3 linked regions of the Oryctolagus cuniculus genome follow. The protein of the gene in region 3 interacts with the protein of the main gene of each other region in a pairwise test. Links are inferred from orthologs where the notes say so. Each region holds a gene or a part of one and is shown on either strand. Other genes may lie near its edges.

The links. The genes of interacting proteins can lie anywhere in the genome.
Region 1: the proteins of TRIM27 (region 3) and PRPF31 interact in binary tests that used the Homo sapiens proteins (3 or more experiments, as listed by UniProt). The two-hybrid records come from large-scale screens. The link is inferred for Oryctolagus cuniculus from reciprocal best matches to the Homo sapiens genes TRIM27 and PRPF31.
Region 2: the proteins of TRIM27 (region 3) and ARHGEF5 interact in binary tests that used the Homo sapiens proteins (3 or more experiments, as listed by UniProt). The two-hybrid records come from large-scale screens. The link is inferred for Oryctolagus cuniculus from reciprocal best matches to the Homo sapiens genes TRIM27 and ARHGEF5.

Annotation. Positions count from the first base shown.
Region 1 is NC_091449.1:4,557,477-4,561,258, reverse strand, and holds part of PRPF31 (U4/U6 small nuclear ribonucleoprotein Prp31), read left to right. Parts: intron 1-1,132; coding exon 1,133-1,222; intron 1,223-2,081; coding exon 2,082-2,209; intron 2,210-2,295; coding exon 2,296-2,368; intron 2,369-2,671; coding exon 2,672-2,800; intron 2,801-2,880; coding exon 2,881-2,979; intron 2,980-3,670; coding exon 3,671-3,782. UniProt on the Homo sapiens protein: Involved in pre-mRNA splicing as component of the spliceosome. Required for the assembly of the U4/U5/U6 tri-snRNP complex, one of the building blocks of the spliceosome.
Region 2 is NC_091434.1:179,402,085-179,405,866, reverse strand, and holds part of ARHGEF5 (rho guanine nucleotide exchange factor 5), read left to right. Parts: intron 1-1,799; 5' UTR 1,800-1,811; coding exon 1,812-3,782. UniProt on the Homo sapiens protein: Guanine nucleotide exchange factor which activates Rho GTPases. Strongly activates RHOA. Also strongly activates RHOB, weakly activates RHOC and RHOG and shows no effect on RHOD, RHOV, RHOQ or RAC1.
Region 3 is NC_091436.1:154,132,089-154,135,870, forward strand, and holds part of TRIM27 (zinc finger protein RFP), read right to left. Parts: intron 476-3,782; coding exon 245-475; intron 1-244. UniProt on the Homo sapiens protein: E3 ubiquitin-protein ligase that mediates ubiquitination of various substrates and thereby plays a role in diffent processes including proliferation, innate immunity, apoptosis, immune response or autophagy.

The sequences.
Region 1 (3,782 bases), on a different chromosome or scaffold from region 3:
CAGTGTCCTGGGCCCCTGGCTCCCTCGGGCTCATCCTGGGGCGCGAGGACTGATGGGAGCCAGAGCCGCTGCGGGACAGATGGCCTGGCTGTCCCCGGTGCTGGCTCCCGTCCCTCGTGTGGACGGCGTTTCCTGGCCGCGTGCCTCGCCCCGCCCATCACTGTCCTCCAGTCCGCAGGCAGCAGACGGGAACGGATCCCAGGGTGCCAGCAGGCCGCCCAGAATCCCAGGCCCTGGAGCCCGGGCGCTGCCCCCCACCACCTGCGCACTGCTGCCCAGAGCCAGGCCCTCCGCAGGCCACGCTGCTGCCCTGTGGCTGAGGGCCCCTCCCGCCCGTGCTGTTCCAGCTCAGTTCCTGCACAAGCCGAAGACACCACAGCATGGCCCGCTTGGTGGCCGGGAACCTCAGTGTCCACATGTTTTTTAGAAGGTTTTATTTATTTACTTGAGAGGCAGAGTTACAGTCAGAGAGATCTCTCAGCCACTGGTTCACTCCCCAAATGGCTGCCACGGCCAGAGCTGTGCCGATCCAGAGCTGGGAGCCAGGAGCTTCTTCCGGGTCTCCCACGTGGGTGCAGAGGCCCAAGGACTTGGGCCATCTTCCACCGCTTTCCTAGGCCATAGCAGAGAGCTGGATCGGAAGCGGAGCAGCTGGGACACGAACCAGACCCATACGGGATGCCGGCGCCACCGGCAGCCAGAGCCTTAGCCCACTACGCCACAGTGCGGCTGCAGGTTCCACGTCTGCCAAGTGGGGGCGCTGACTGCAGCAGCCTGGTGCTCGAGCATCTGATGAGGGTCCGTGTGCAGGGCGAACCTGCACAGCAGGGTTGAGAACAGGCTGCAGGTGCTCCCCCGGGAACCTCCGCGTCCTCCTCTGGGCTCCGCCCTCAGCCACAGCGACCCCAGCACACGGCTCCTCCGGCCCTGGCCTCCTTCCCACGATGGGAGGGGGCTGTTGGGAGCAGGGGCCGTGTGTGTGTGTGTGTGTGTGTGTGTGTTAGAGAGAGAGAGAGAGGTCCTCGTGTGTGTGTGTGTGTGTGTGTGAGTGAAGCCCCCTCGGGGAGGAGCAGCCCTGTCTCTGTCCATCTGTCCGGCTCACAGACTCCGCGTCCCCCTGCCGTTGCTCTAGGATCTGCGGCGGAAAGCAGCCCGGCTGGTGGCCGCCAAGTGCACGCTGGCAGCCCGCGTGGACAGTTTCCACGAGAGCACGGAGGGGAAGGTGAGGCTCGCTCTGGGGACCCAGCCCAGGAGCACTGCCCTGACGGGGCACACACACCCCTTCCCTGGCTCGGAGCTCCTGTCTGTCTCCAGAGCCAGCCAGGAGCCCCTGCAGACCCCCCCTCCGTCAGGGACCTCGTGACCCCAGGGCGCCCTCCCCACCCCACAACCCCAGCCACACCCCTCTTGCCTTGTGATGTCAGCCGTTCCGGGCCAGGACCTGGGCCCTGCTGGCTCTGTGCTCTCGGCAGCCGCACCTGCCGTCCTGGGCATTGCTGTGTGCCGGCTCCCAGCCCGGCAGTGTTCAGGTGCCCAGCCGCCACCCCTGCACACACGCACACAAAGCCCCGCCTCTGGGGCTCCCACTCCAGTAGGGGCTGGGGCAGCAGCCAGGTGACACTTGCCCCACAAATGCCAAGAAGAAGAACAGCATCTGGGGTGTGAGGGGTCGGCGGGAGGGCTTCTCTGGCCAGGAAGTTCTGCCCTGCACCCGAGTGCAGTCAGCGTCAAGTCCCAGGGCCCCTGGGGGAAGTTCCAGGTGGGACGGTCAGTGCAGGCGGCCTGAGGCTGGAGCCCCCCCAGCCCCCGGGGGGTGAGGCGGTGATGGGGCACCTTCTGTGCCCTCGGGAGGACCTGGCACCTTGGAGGTGCTGAACAGGGGCCTGCGGGACCTGAGGGCGGTGCCGGGAGAGCAGCAGGCATCGCGGGTGTGAGCTGGACGACCGGCCCACCCACTGTCCGGGGCTGAGAGCTTGGTCAAGCAGCAGCTTCAAAGGGCACCCAAGAGCCGCCAAGGCCGTCGGGTGCTGCGGGCTGATGGCCCGTGGTGCAGCCGCCCCCGCCTCCCTGTCCCCCCCCAGGTGGGCTACGAGCTGAAAGACGAGATAGAGCGCAAGTTCGACAAGTGGCAGGAGCCGCCCCCCGTGAAGCAGGTGAAGCCGCTGCCTGCGCCCCTCGATGGGCAGCGGAAGAAGCGAGGCGGCCGCAGGTGAGAGACCCGGGGGGCGCGGGCGGGGGCCTCCGAGAGGAAGAGGCCCGAGCTCTCTGCCCGCGCGTGACCCGCCGCCTTCCCAGGTACCGCAAGATGAAGGAGCGGCTGGGGCTCACGGAGATCCGGAAGCAGGCCAACCGCATGAGCTTCGGGGAGGTGGGCCCCGCCCCTCACCCAGGGCCCCCAGTCCTGCCCCGTCCCCGCCCCCCCCACCCAGGGCCCCTCTGGCTCTCCCCTTCCGCTGCCCACCCTCACCAGGCTCCCAGGACCCAGGCCTACCGGCCTCCCAGGCTCAGCCACACCCGCCCCCTGTGCTCTGAGCATCCTCTGGTCCTGCGGCTGGGCTCAGTGCCCCCAGTGCTGAGACCTGTGCTGCCCTCGCACCCTCTCCCCCCAAGCATGAGAGAGGGCGCTGTGTGCTGAGGGCCCCCACCTGACTGCGGGCACCCCCCCCCCCAGATCGAGGAGGATGCCTACCAGGAGGACCTGGGCTTCAGCCTGGGCCACCTGGGCAAGTCGGGCAGTGGGCGCGTGCGGCAGACGCAGGTGAACGAGGCTACCAAAGCCAGGATCTCCAAGACGCTGCAGGTATGGGCGGGGCCCAGGTGGGGGCGGGGTGAGGGACGGGGGCGGGGCTGCCCCTTCATCCCGTGCCCTCCCACCCACAGCGGACCCTGCAGAAGCAGAGCGTGGTGTACGGCGGGAAGTCCACCATCCGTGACCGCACCTCAGGCACAGCCTCCAGTGTGGCCTTCACGCCCCTGCAGGTACGGCTCGGGCCGCCCCCCACCAGGGCCTGCTGGGGGGGTGGGGGGCAGCCAAGCTCCTTCCCTTTCCCCGCGAGGCAGCGGCACGATGGGGTCCCCTCTCCCTGGCCATGTGGTCCCGGCACAGTAGGTGTGAGGAGGGTGTACAGACCAGCCCCAGACTGAGGCCTGGGGCTGCCCAGTTCCTGGTGCGGGCGACCGCCCCCTCTGGGGCTCCAGGCGGTCACGAGAAAGCTGCCAGGTGGGCTTGGGTTCCCACTTGGGTTCCGTCCGAGCCGCCACACCTGTCCGCGGCTCCGTGCAGTCACCACACGGCAGCGTGCCCCATGGTGATGGGTGACGTCCCCACGCTCCCTTGCCCAGCCAGGGAGTGTCCACTGGGCGCCCACCAAGTCCCAGGAGCGTCGGGCTCTGGGGAGGAGGTGAAGAGCAGAGGAGACAGCGCGGGTCGGTGGGACCGTGGGACACAGGCGCCCGGGCAGCGGGAGCAGGACCCAGAGGCCCTCGTGGGAAGAACCACCGCTGGGCGCGGCTTCGGCCGCAGCCCCCTGGGGCTCTGTTCCCGGGCGGGATGTCGCCTCTGTCCAGGGGACCGGAGACTCCCAGGGACTGGGCCCAGCTGAAGCCTGGACACCCTCGGGAGGCTCTCTGGCGTCCCCACCCCCCACGGTCCCCTCTGCCTCACCCGCAGGGCCTGGAGATCGTGAACCCACAGGCAGCCGAGAAGAAGGTGGCGGAGGCCAACCAGAAGTACTTCTCCAGCATGGCCGAGTTCCTCAAGGTCAAGGGCGACAAGAGCGGCA
Region 2 (3,782 bases), on a different chromosome or scaffold from region 3:
TTGAGATAAAAGGTAAATCAAAATGCACACATAATTATATAATTATTATTGTATATGTGCTACAAAGGAGAAATAAAGTGAAATATGGTTGATAAGTACAACAAAGAGAAGTACAATTTAACCTAGTGAGAGGATTAGGGAAAACTTAAGGGGAAAACCAGGAAAATACAGTACCACGCATAATAAGAATCAATATTTCTCACATCAATAGTGTTAAATTCTGACAAGAATCATCCAGAGTAAAGGTCCAAAGAGCCTTCTGTGGAATCAATAATATGGAGATGGTTGGGGACGTTGGCAGAATGGCGCTTCTGGAAGCTGGGTTGGAGGCAGGTGTCTGGGATGTGAAGACAGCAGATAGGGGCAAATCCTTCTAGGTGTTTGAAAGATGAGAGAGACGTGGGAATGCTTGAATACTAGTGGAGTGGTTCTAGCAGAAAAGTTGAAGGCCTGAGAGACAGAGAGAGATAACCCATAGTAAGAGGTCCCTGAAGAGGTGGGACAAAGAGGAAGGACACCTCTTGCATTTTCTGAGGAGGGATATAAAAAGAGCAGGAACACTTCTCACTTTGGATTGCAAGACATTGAAGCAGATCCACTTCATTGGATTCTGAATTCTTTGCAAATTAAATGAGATGTTTTGCTAGCAGTGAGAAGAAAGGCAGGGAGGTCCAAATTTTTAGCGATAATACAGAGTTCACATGGGTCTTGGAGAGAGAAGGAGAATAAAATAATGAAAATAAGTGTTCTGGACCTCACTGATGTTGATAACAGTTGTGTCTATCAGAGTCTCAATCTAGTGAGTCTGGATATCATTTCACTTTGCAACAATTATCTCTGTAATTGAAAATAAAATTGTTCCTGCATGACAGTGCTCCCCTAGACATTCTAAACCTGGTGTAAAGAAACTATAGTACTTTGCACATTGGCTGTGGTAACCTGACCTATTTAAATCTGATGTGAATAGCTTGGGAGGAAGATTCCTCTTCTGATACTGTTTTTCTGGGCTGTTAGATATATGGTGTGTCATACACAGTGTCTGGAGTAACAAGAGGCTGAGTCACTTTGGGTGTCCAAAGGATAGACACAGAGAGACTGAATTTGACATATGCTATTAATAGTCTAGAGGAGGGGCTGCCGCCTACGTGCAGGTATCTCATATGGGTGCCAGTTCAAGTCCTGGCTGCTCCACTTCCAATCCAGCTCTCTGCTATGGCCTGGGAAAGCAGTGGGAGATGGCCCAAGTGCTTGGGCCCCTGCACCCTCTTGGGAGACCCAGAAAAGGCTCCTGACTGCTGGCTTCGGATCTGCTCAGCTCTGGATGTTGTGGCCATCTGGGGAGCGAACCAGTGGATGGAAGACCTCACTCGCTCGCTCTCTCTCTCTCTGCCTCTGCCTCTCTGTAACTCTGGCTTTCAAATAAATAAATAAATCTTTAAAAATAGTCTAGAGGAAAATGACCACTCAGAGCATTTAGCAGTCTTGCAAATGGTCTTATGCCCAAATTTGACACCTCGTAATTCCCCTGAATCACCCATAAGGCTGTAAACTCCATGAAAACAAGATCATTGTCCCATTTACTACTGTATACTTAAAAGGGTCAGCAGTTAAATGTTTATTAAATGAATAAGAAATGGAAAGTTTTATAGGGGCTATAGCTTATTGTGCTGGGTACCACTTGTCTCAAAGAATAACAATGAATGGAACCTAGGAAATGTGTCACTCTTCTTTATGGTCCCTCCCTCTGAGAGGTGAAAGCAGACAAGGTGTCACAAACCGTTGTCTTTATTCTTCCTTAGCATTCAGCCCTGATGGATGCTGAGGAGCCTCAGTATGGAACCTCCACCCCCATCCCTGCCAAAGAGGAATTCAGCGTTACCCCTGAAGCTCTCATGCGAAGCAGCCAGATCCCTGCCTTGGGACCAGAAGCTCAAGAAGGCCAGGACCTATGCAATAACTGGGACGAGGGGCAGAGACTCTCAGCGACCCAGCCAAGCGAGTTAAGGGATGTGAGTGACTATGCAGCCGAGACCGTGCCTTCTTTCCCCAAGGAAAGTTCCGTGGAGGTGGACAGCGATCAGGAAACCTTTGTGGCTGAGGTCAGCAACACTCCAGAGCTGCAAGAGCCAATGGCCCAGAGCCTGGCAGATGAACAAGCAAGGATCCCAGCTCCATCAGAACTCCAGTACCATCCTATACAGAGTGAATGCCCAGGCATGGTCCCAATATCCAGTGATTTGGGCAGCAGAGTGGAGAAGGAATTTCAACCAGAACTGACTTCTTTGACATTGGAATTTGAACAAGCAGAAGAGAAGGGGCAGACCTCTCCTGGTAGTTCTCAAACAATGTTTTGGCCTCTGTGCAAAGAGCCCACCACAGAGACCAACCAGGCTGAAGGTTCTGAAAGCAGGATTATCCCGCAGGGGGAGAAGCTGCAGTTGGAGGAGGTTCAGGAAAGTCGAGGGCAAGAAGAGCCATTGCATCCCCAGGGAGCTCAGGGGCTGGAGGATTTGGGACAACAGACAGTGGAGTCTCAGGGGACAGAAACTCTGCAGAATGTTTCTTCTGATGGACTTTGGGAAGAGCAAGAACAAATGGTAGAGCAGGTGACTGGTAATGAGGAAGAAGAAAGGCAAAAAAAGGAACAGGTCCAGGAAGATGGGATACTGGGAAGACAAGGAGAAACAGAGAGGCTGGTTGAGGAACTGGAAGGTCTGAATTGTGGTGAGCAGGATGAAGAGCATAGGGAAAAGAATGCTGAGCATCAGAAAGGTCCAGAACAGGCAGAGCAAGCAAAGAGGGAATTGAGCGGGCCAGAGAAGAGGAGGGTCAGCTCTCAGGACATGGAGTGTCAAAGCTTGGTGGGCAGATCAGAGGAAATAACTAGACAGCAAGAAGGTGAGGGTCTCATGGGAAAAGTGATGTCAGTGGAGGGGCAGGAGGAGGAGGAGGCATTGTCAGATGAGCAGGAGCCAGGAAATTGGGATGGGAGCTTGCAGGGAGCAGTGGGAGAAGAGAGATCAGAAGAGGAGGAAGAGCACCATGGGCCTCCCACACTGGTGCTGGTACCCTCTGAGATCTCTTCTCCCTTTGACTTCTTTCCAGATGGCTCTTATCCCATGACTCAGGTTCCTGGGACTCAGATGGAGCCCAGGGCTGTGGAACTGTCCCCCATAGTTCTGACCCCTTTACTGGAGCCAATAGAATGCTCCCACCAGCCTGTTTCTCTACCAGACTGCTTTCCTAAAGTGGAATCACCTGACAATGAAACGGCTCAAGACACTGAAACAGCTCAAGAGAGCCAGCAAGAAGAATCTGAACTGAGTAAGGAGACAGCATCCAGCCAGGGGACTGAGGTGGTCCCGGGTGATACATCTGTGACTCCTTCAAGGACATTGGATGCAGCTTTATCCAGTCCAGCTGAAGTCTCTACTATCACAGCTGCATCATCTACCAGTCCCCCAAGTCCTTCTCCCAGGAGTGAGACCTCCAGAGCCCCTCTCTCTACTGACAGTCCATCTCTCTGTGAGGCTTTCAAGATTCCCCTGGATACCCTCCATGGTTTCCCCTCTGCAGAGGCCACCATGAATCCATGTGCCAGCTCCAACAGATCCAGCCTTCAGAGCCCTCCAGCCAACTGCACAGGGGCCATCCAACACCTACGGAGCAACTCCTTTCCAGGCTCTCACAGGACAGAGCAGACTCCAAACTTGGTGGGAATGTCGCTATCTTTATCCCACTCAGAGTTGCCCCAGAGGCCCCCCAAACCTGCCATCTATGGC
Region 3 (3,782 bases):
AAGGCAGGCCCGGACAGTATCATCCTTTTATCCTTCCATGAGACAATGCTGCTGACTGATTCAAGTTCTATCACTCAGAGCTTGATGTACATGGTTTCCTTCCACCACACCAATGCAGAGCTTGGCAAGCCCTTGCTATGCCTGCCGAGCTGACAAGGAGACAGGGTCCTGGGTTCACCTTGGCAAAGGAGAGGGGAGACTATTTCTAGGGGGAACTGCCTGAGCATGGCTCTCCACACCTTACCTGCAAGAGCTCCCTGGTGGGCTGCTGCTGCTTCTCCTCCAGCTGGGCAATCAGGCTGCTGAGGTGGGAGATGTTGCAGGAGAACTGGGTGATGGCCCCGTTGATGCTGTTGTAGATGGCCAGGTCGAGCTCCTCAAGGCGGGCCAGGAGGCGGTACTCATGCTCCTTCAGAGAGTGATAGAGCTGCTCAAACTCCCAGACAATTTTCTCCCTCTCCATCTGGGTCAGGCTCTGTGCAGATGACAGAGAAGGGCAGTAAGGAGAGGAGAAGCTCCCTTCTAGATCCCTTCACATTCCTTCCACGACCACTCACTCCGAAAACACATCATTTTATCCTGGGATACTCAAACAACACTGTTCACTCACTCACTATTTCTGTCTTACTCACTAGACATATGCTGCCCTGGAACTGAGTTACCCCAGTGATAATTAAGGCATAGTCTCTGCTGCTAAGGAACTCAGTCCAGCAAGTCAGGTTCGTATGGTGCATTCACGGATGGGGAGTTAAAGAAAAGGTGACAGCCTTTCTGTCCCACATCTTAGCAAAGCTGTGATGGTTGTCGTTTCTCACTGAACTTCACCAGGATGCCAAGAAAGATGTTGTAAAGCTGGATAAAAGGGGACGGTGCTGTGACATAGTGGGTAAAGCCTCCGTCTGCAGTGCTGGCATCCCATATGGGCGCTGGTTCTAGTCCCAGCTGTTCCACTTCCGATCCAGCTCTCTGCTATGGCCTGGGAAAGCAGTGAAAGATGGCCCAAGTCCTTGGGCCCCTGCACCCACGTGGGAGACCCAAAGATGCTCTTGGCTCTTAGCTTTGGATTGGCACAGCTCCAGCCACTGCAGCCATCTGGGGAGTGAACCAGTAGGTGTAAGACCTCTCTCTCCCTCCCTGTAACTCTGCCTTCAAATAAATAACTCCTTAAAAAAAAAAAAGAAGTTGGATAAGAAAAGTAAAGACTCTTGGGGCCGGTGTTGTGGTATTGCAGGCTAAGCAGCTGCCTGCAGTGCTGGCATCCCATGTGGGTGCTGGTTAGTCCTGGCTGCTCTACTTCCGATCCAGCTCCCTACTAATGTTTCTTGGAATGCCACAAAGATGGCCCATTTGGGGAGTGAACCAGCAGATGGAAGATATCTCTCTCTCTCTTTAAGATTTATTTATTAGTTTGAGAGGCAGAGTTACAGATAGAGAAACAAATCTTTTAATCACCGGTTAACTCCCCAAATGGCTGCAACAGCCGGAGCTGGGTTGGAGCCAGGAGCGTCTTCTAGGTTCCCTACCATTGCTTTCCTAGGTTGTTAACAGAGAGCTGGATTGGAAGTGGAGCAGCAGGGACTCAAACCAGCATTGGCACTGCAGCCAGAGGATGAACCTGCTAAGCCACAGTGCTTTGTAACTCTGCCTTTCAAGTAAATAATATAAAACATTAAAAAAAAAAAAAAAAAAAAAAAAAGGTAAAGACCCCATGAACAAATCTAGGCACAAGACCAAGCAGAAGAAATGGTACAAAGGCACAGTTCAGGGCACTTTTAATAACCTAGACTTCTTTGACAAAGCTACTTATGATACATTCTGTTACAGAAGTTACTGTCAGTTTACAGACCCAGCTGTGGTCTCTGAGAGACCAGATTCTCAGCTCCCTCACCAAGGCAGCTCTTCAAGAGCTCCTCAGCAGAAGGTTAATACAACTGGTTTCAATGCACAGAGCTCAGGGCAGCACTGCACCCACGTGGGAGACCTGAAGAAGCTTCTGGCTCCTGGCTTTGGTCTGGCCCAGCCCTGGCTGTTGCAGCCATTTGAGGAGTGAGCCAGCAGATGAAAAATCTTGATCTCTCTGCCTCTCCCTTTCTCTCTCTTCATAACTGTGCCTTTCAAATTAGTAATAATAAATCTTAAAAAAAAAAAAAAAAGGGCATAGAGCTCAAGGAATACCAGGGGACTATTCCTAGCTGCTGAAGATGCATAAACAAGCAACATGTGGGGGGAAAAACCAAACTTTGGAAATTGTACATTTGGCAAAACAAAGCTTCATTTAAAAAAAAAAAAAAAGAAAGGTAACAGCATGTGGTAGGGGAAGGTAGTACTGTCTTAACAGAAGCAATGTATAAACCAGGCATTACAGGAAGAACAGGAGTTCACTATACAGGCAACAAGTGGAAGACCTTCCAGGCAGAATAAATGGCACAGCAAAAGTGGAGACAAGCAGGCAAATGGTTTTGTCTGGCTGCAGCAGAGACCAGAAAAGGTAAAAAGACCAGGTCACACCTTTCCTGGAGGGTAAGGGGTAAGAACTTTACCCCAACTGAGCAACTGAGAGAAAGACCATGGCCCAGGGAAAGGACAGGCCAGACACAGGCATGCCCTGTGCAGGATGGCCTGCACCAAGGAAGCACAATTTCACTGACCAGTCTCCTTGGGCCCAGATTCCAAACCTCTCTGCTCAGGGCTTTCACCAGCCACCCTGCCTCCCTGGCTTTGGGGGAAGGGCAGTTTCCTCTTGCTGCTGACTTATCCGACACAGTTTGTCTTCCCTTCCTTCTCTACCCCCATGCCCTATAGTCAGCACTGCTAAAATTGTGTTCTACCCTCCCTCCCTCCCTCCCTCCCTCTCTCTCTCTCTTCCTCCTTCCTTCCCTCTCTCCCTGCCTCCCTCCCTCCCTCTCTCTCCCCAACTGCCTTTCAAGTAAATAAAAAAAATCTTTTAAAAAAAAATTCTGTTCTAAACAATGGGTCAGCAAACGGCTCTAAAAGAATCCAACAACCTTTTATCAAAACACAGCCCTGCCTATTTACATATTGGCTGTGGCTGCTTTTGAGCCACAACATTACTGATTAGTTGGGACTGGACCCATAGAGCCCCAAAGCTACAGATATGTACAATCTGGCCCTTTGTGGGGAGTTTGCCAACACGGGTTCTAAATTCAAACCCTTCTGAGACACACCCCATGCTGACCGTCCCTCTAGCCCCCTTCCAGGCACTCACTATACAACTTGGTGACACACACCCCTTCATTTATAAATCCTTTTCCCAAGCTCATGCCTCTTCGCCACTGGCTAAGTCTTTTCAAAGACACACCATAAAATACAATCTCAGAAACAGAAAAATTAAACCTGAAAGAAAACTTAAAGGTCAAGTACCAGTGTTTCTCAAGGGGCTTGCCACTGGCATGCTGGCTGGGACAATGTTGTTTAGCATGGGGCTGTTTTTCACATAACAGGACATGTAGCACCCCCATTCTACCCTCCCCAGTCACCTTACCCACTCTGCCATAATGCCAGCCCCCCAACCTACCCATTTCCCAGGTGAAGTGTGATAATCAAATGGCTAGTATGAGAGCCAAGACGCACATCCAGGTGGCCGGATTTCAGAGAACGGCTGTGTCTCCTTGTTGACAATCCTGCCCAGAAGACAATTTTTGTGTGCACTATGATTGAAGTGGACTCAGGTTCATGAAGAATATTCTTCATCCATGAAATCTCTTTTGAAAGTAAGGGGAACTGTGGTCTCAGCAGATTGTGTGGGCAGAGCAAGTGGTGGA